2 linked regions of the Kluyveromyces lactis genome follow. The protein of the gene in region 2 binds, or shares a complex with, the protein of the main gene of each other region. Links are inferred from orthologs where the notes say so. Each region holds a gene or a part of one and is shown on either strand. Other genes may lie near its edges.

The links.
Region 1: GCD1 (region 2) and GCN3 share a complex: the UniProt entries of both Saccharomyces cerevisiae proteins name them as parts of the translation initiation factor 2B (eIF2B) complex. The link is inferred for Kluyveromyces lactis from reciprocal best matches to the Saccharomyces cerevisiae genes GCD1 and GCN3.

What each region holds. Positions count from the first base shown.
Region 1 is NC_006042.1:1,293,166-1,295,933, forward strand, and holds GCN3 (translation initiation factor eIF2B subunit alpha), read right to left. Parts: upstream 1,451-2,768; coding exon 530-1,450; downstream 1-529. Other genes in the region: RPC37 (DNA-directed RNA polymerase III subunit C37), read left to right, coding at 1-469; KLLA0_F13981g (uncharacterized protein), read right to left, coding at 1,551-1,784; mitochondrial elongation factor MEF2, read left to right, coding at 1,964-2,768. UniProt on the Saccharomyces cerevisiae protein: Acts as a component of the translation initiation factor 2B (eIF2B) complex, which catalyzes the exchange of GDP for GTP on the eukaryotic initiation factor 2 (eIF2) complex gamma subunit.
Region 2 is NC_006039.1:830,637-834,130, forward strand, and holds GCD1 (translation initiation factor eIF2B subunit gamma), read right to left. Parts: upstream 1,986-3,494; coding exon 501-1,985; downstream 1-500. Other genes in the region: COX10 (protoheme IX farnesyltransferase), read left to right, coding at 1-248; proteasome regulatory particle base subunit RPT4, read left to right, coding at 2,425-3,494. UniProt on the Saccharomyces cerevisiae protein: Acts as a component of the translation initiation factor 2B (eIF2B) complex, which catalyzes the exchange of GDP for GTP on the eukaryotic initiation factor 2 (eIF2) complex gamma subunit.

The DNA of each region.
Region 1 (2,768 bases), on a different chromosome or scaffold from region 2:
CTTCTTCGACAAAGAAAAAGCTGCTGAGTCTTGGAACAATGTCGACGTTCAAACTTTGAAAGGTGTGGCTGTAAGCAACGACATGTTGCAATACGCAGGCGTTATGAAACAAGGACAGCTATATTTAATACCAGTAGAGAAAGTTGCCCAAATGAGACCATACTTCCGTTACATCGATTCGCATCAACAGGTTAAGAAGGACGAGGATGCCAAGGCGAAACCTGCGAATCCAACTGCCAAGAAAAACCAGGTAATAACAATGTCAGTGAAGAGTAGCAGCGAAGCGAATCAAAATAGACTAGGAGGTGCATTGCTAGCTCATAAGGTAGCAGACGAAGAGGAATTCAAACCTTTGGAATGGAAGGACGATACTTTCGAATCGTTTGTAGAAGAAGTTACAAGTGAAAAAAGTACTGTACCATTAAAACCAATGGACAACGACGCTGTGTATCTATCAAAACTATTTTAATTAATTATCGTATTTAGTAAGTATAAATATATATTAAACCGAGAAGGGATCAAATTCTCCTTAATCATACCACATCTTAATCAACTCCTCAGAAACAGCACTAGGTGTCAACCCTCCAAGATCAGTGATCAAAGCTGTGATGTATTCTTGACTTGTAAAGTCGACAGAAGGCCCACTCAATGGTTCTTCATCGTCTTCTATACCGTTTTTGCTAAAATCTAATGGATCTCTTTCCATTGGAATATCATCTGACGAAAGAGGGAACATACGTACGAACTTATGCGACTCACTAACCACATAGAATGGTTTCCTTGCATTCTTCGCCAAGACACCGATAGAATACGTTCCTACTAGATTGATAATACCTCCAGATTCAGCAACACCTTCGGCTCCCACAAAGATCTTGTTTACCTTATGGATGATCGTACCAACAGCATTATCTACAATCATTGTCACTGGGATACCCTTCTTTTTAAGTAAATGATACAGTTGCAACCCTTGGCCAGACGGTCTGGATTCAGTGACGATACATCTAAATCTGATTAACTTCTCTGCTGCATGACTTAGTAAAGAGAAAACAGCTCTGGAAAATCCATGCACTAATATGATATCATCATCGGATATGAAATCAATCCCAATCTCAGCAATTCTATCTCTTGATTGTTTAGCTCTACTGACAAATAAATGCCCGTTTTCAATCAAATGCTGTTGACAATTTTCCCAATCACCGTACAAATGTGTGTTCTTCAAGACAAATCTCATAAATATATCACAACCTGCACGTAACGAAATTGAGTTTGGAATAGATGTAGTCAACTCTTCGATAGCTAGCTTTGTCGATTTGATCATCTCTGCAGATGTTTTGGGATTCTTAACTTTCAACATGGTAACTAATGCCTCGATGGCAGCGATAGGCATAGTCATTTCACTGTCTTCTTCCAAAAACTTCAAATAAGTTTGGGTGATATTAAACTCTTGCATCGTCATTTCGTTTGGTATTTCTCTATTGATCCTGTTTCCTTGCACTGGTATGTATTTAATGTGTCACTGACAGTACCCAAATGGCCACTAACTACCTAGTTTAATTGTCTTTGAACCTCACTTGAACCATTTTGGCTGGTTGGATGAGATGGTTCCATGCTTTCAATAGTGAAAAGTTAAATCCGTAAGTCATGATTTTTGAAATGGGTGATGAGTCTGAAATGTTGTTATTAAACACCGCACAGTGTGCCACTTGGCTCATCATTGGAGGTACTAGTTGAATCCTTACAATTACTACATTCTCGAAATGTCTACTTGTTAATCCTGGAGCCATTGGCTGATATTTAACTACTCTTTATGTAATGTATTATTCGAGTGCTATTAAACTGAATTTATTGAAGACAATTTCTAACAGTACCGTAAACCTTCGAGACAACCATCAGAAAGACTAGTATAACCAGTGAAGGTTCGATTTCATACCAGATACCCTTACCAAGCTCTGCAAAGTAGCCAATGCAACATACAATGTCGTTTAGGATATTTCTTCGAAGGTATGCCACTAAGCATGATCTGAGTAAAGTCAGAAACATTGGCATCATCGCGCACATCGATGCTGGTAAGACGACAACCACCGAACGAATGTTGTATTACAGTGGGAAGATCAATAGAATAGGTGATGTAGATCAAGGTGATACTATTACAGACTATCTACCGCAGGAAAGATCGAGAGGAATAACGATTCAAAGTGCCGCTATATCGTTCAATTGGAAGAAAGATTATAAGATCAATCTTATCGACACACCTGGCCATGCTGATTTCACATTCGAAGTTATCAGGTCTTTGAAAGTTCTAGATAGCTGTGTCACCATCTTGGATTCTGTAGCAGGGGTGGAGGCTCAGACTGAAAAGGTTTGGAAGCAGTCAAGTGGCTTACCCAAGATCTGTTTCTTAAACAAGATGGATCGAGTCGGTGCTGGGTTTAGCAGGACAGTGAAAGAACTTGTCGTCAAAATGAATACCAGAGCATTACTTATAAATACCCCAATATTTCAAGTAGATCCTGTGACGAATGAGTCAAAGTTCAGTGGTGTGTTGGATTTAATATATGGGAAACAGTTAATCTGGGACACCAATGATCCAGACAAGATAAATGTCACTGATGTCGATGAAAATCATGACTGTTATGAATATTTGGTTAGAGGAAGAGAAGCATTGGTGGAAACTCTTGGTGAGACTGATGAATCTATTGTGGAACATTTTTTCAATGATGCTGATGGAGAGTACCTAAATGTTTCACCAGAAGTGTTGAATGCATCTA
Region 2 (3,494 bases):
CATTTGTTAATGCTTGGATGTCACTATGGGCATTCAAGTTTTATTTCCAGCAAAAGCGTAATTACTCCAAGGAGATATACAATAACAAGACAGAATTCAACAAAGGGTTGGCAATGGCCAACGTTTATGCGAGGAGAACATTCTGGGTCAGTGTACTACATTTGCCGGCAGTATTGATTTTAGCAATTTTGCATAAAAAGGACCGTTGGGACTGGCTCTTTGAAGATAAGAAACAACTCTCAGCATAATTTCACACATTCATTCAACATCAGGAAAATCTTACTTGTGAATAGTAATTTATTATTATGTATTTAATTCAGAACGAAAATCATCAATTATTTTGTAAACATAAACTGTAAATATTCAGAAATCCGTTCAAGAAGTTTACACAAGCTCAGAAGATTAGTTATCAGATTTCTATAATTATTAAGGTACACATGGTACGGCTATTTGATCATGATATATGCAAAAATACTCTATTTATAATAATTTACCGAAGTTCAACGGTCGAAGAGTCCATCATCAACATAATCCTCATCGTCATAATATTCATCAGTGTAATCAGACTCGGATCCAGATGAATCTGAATCCAGTAAAGAGGATGCGTAATCTTCGTCATCTATGTAAATACTTGTCAAAGTTTCACCCTTGAGAGTGGATTTTTCATTGACAATATAAGAGCCCTCAACATAACAATTTGTAAGCTTTGATTTCTTGCCGATTTTTGCATTTCTACCGATGATGACATTTTCTAGCTGGGTTTCATCATCAATTTCAACATTATCAAGCACAACACACCCAACGATACGGCATCGCTTTCCTACTTTACAATTGTCACCGAGGACCGAACGTTTAATATTGGTTTTCTCCAAAATTGCACAATTGTTACCAACCATAGAATCTGCACCGATAGCAGAAGAACCATCAGTAGTGCGTTGTTGAATCGCCGTTTGTTTAATCTTCAAAACGTACCTATTGGATTCCATGTATGCACTCAAACTGTTTGATCTGATAAATAATCCGATTTCAGGTAACACGAAGATACCTATAGTTTCTCTGGGTTTCACATGCTGCCACGAACGCCTAGACAAATCCCTGAATAGCTTGCCTAGCGATTTATTACAGTTTATTGGATCTTTGATTAATTTCTTCTTTCCCTTCAAGAAAGACGTGTTCTGGAATGATGTGGCCAAAGAATCAACGGCTTCCGAATCAGAGTCTAATTCTCCAGCACCTTTCTCGGTTTCATCCTTCAATAGGTTTACTAACTCATGAGAGCAAAAGTAAATGAAGGAGTTCAGTAATTTTGTGGATACAGAGGAGTTCGGATATCTCCAAAGCATTTGGGATCTGATTTGTAAATATTTCGTTTTGTCCACATCGTCTTTGGAATAAACGTCTAGAAGAACGGGCTTACTAACAGACTCCAAATTCTCGGAGTATACAGTCAGGAATTGCTTTAAATGCTTCTTATCGATATTCTCAAACCCATTGTGATAATATACTGCCATAGCTAGATTCTCCGGATCTTTATTCAAATACTGATCTAAAAACACCTGTGGTGGAATGTCTGTGATGAAATCACAAGGTAACAACACGAAATCTCCAGTTATCTTATCTAGCAATTCATTCTTCAGACATTCTCCTGTATTCTCACATTTTGAGGGTATAATATTAATAGGAGATGGTTTTTTCAAATAGTGAGCATGGTTCGATCCAACGCTTTGGGATAACAGTCCAAAATAATGCCCTCTCACTTCACGGTATTTTTTCAAACTTTCCTCTAATTCGTCAGCATCGGATGCGTCAATAACTAGATTGACCTCTTTAAATTGGGCTTGCTCACACCAATCTAGTACGAACTCAATCATGGAGCGGTTTGCAACCGGCAATAGAGCTTTGGGAACACCAGTGTCTCCACGAACATTGGAAAACGGTGTTAGCTTCGCACCACGTCCACAGAATATAAAAGCTTGAAAATCCATTGTTCTGTACTATTCTGGGAATATTAAACTGTCTTATCTGGAGATCAACGCATCAATAAAACGTAGAACCCACTATATATCTTCAAACTGTACCGTGGCAGGTCATCATCCTACGTGATGCTTAGGTTAGTCAATACTCCATCTTATATTGAAAAGCTTTATTCCTGAAAATTTCAAAATCGTGCGTAATGATCTCCCTTTCTATTTAGTAGATTCCGAATGCTTTTGCCACCATTCAATCTAGTAACCCATAGTCCAAATGAAGAGAATAGGTAAGAAAGGCCAAATCCAACCAATTGAGTTGAGTCAATCCATTATAACAGTACTAGTCCAACCAGGAAGGAATACTGACAGAATAAAGGTACGGGATTTTTCTCCTTTCATATTGAGAAGCAGGAATAGGAAGATTAAGCTAGTCTGATCAGAATAAATACTAAAGATGTCTCAAGAACAGGATCCTTTACTAGCAGCAATGGAAGAAAACGATGGTGATGACACTAACGGAGCTGGTACCAACTCTAATTCGGGAGAAAATAACGCTGCCGCACCTGAAACGGTGGAGCCTGTGGATCCAGAACAGGCTGCAAAGGAAAAAGCGATGTTACATTTTAAGAAAAGACTTATGGAACACAGACGATACGACGATATGTTGAAGCAACGCAGAGAAACCATACGGGTACTAGAAGCAGAATATGAGAGAACAGAACAGGATATCAAGGCGTTACAGTCGATTGGCCAACTCATTGGGGAAGTTATGAAGGAACTTTCCGAGGAAAAATACATTGTAAAAGCGTCATCAGGTCCTCGTTATATTGTGGGTGTGAGGAACTCCGTTGATCGTTCCAAGCTAAAGAAGGGTGTCAGAGTCACACTTGATATTACTACATTAACTATTATGAGAATTTTACCTAGAGAAACTGACCCATTAGTTTATAATATGACCACTTTTGAACAAGGTGAAATCTCTTTTGATGGTATCGGTGGTCTTACGGAACAGATCAGAGAATTGAGAGAAGTCATTGAGCTTCCACTAAAGAACCCAGAAATTTTCGAGAGAGTGGGAATCAAACCACCTAAGGGTGTGTTACTATATGGTCCTCCTGGTACTGGTAAGACTTTATTGGCTAAGGCAGTTGCTGCAACTATCGGTGCCAACTTTATCTTCTCCCCAGCATCCGGTATTGTAGATAAATACATCGGTGAATCAGCACGTATCATTAGAGAAATGTTTGCATACGCCAAAGAACATGAACCTTGTATCATCTTTATGGACGAAATAGATGCTATCGGTGGACGTAGATTTAGCGAAGGTACCTCAGCAGATCGTGAAATTCAACGTACATTGATGGAACTATTAACTCAGATGGATGGTTTCGACAACTTAGGACAAACGAAAGTTATTATGGCTACGAATAGACCTGACACTTTAGATCCTGCTTTACTAAGACCTGGTAGATTGGACAGAAAAATCGAAATCAGTTTACCAAATGAGGCAGGAAGATTAGAAAT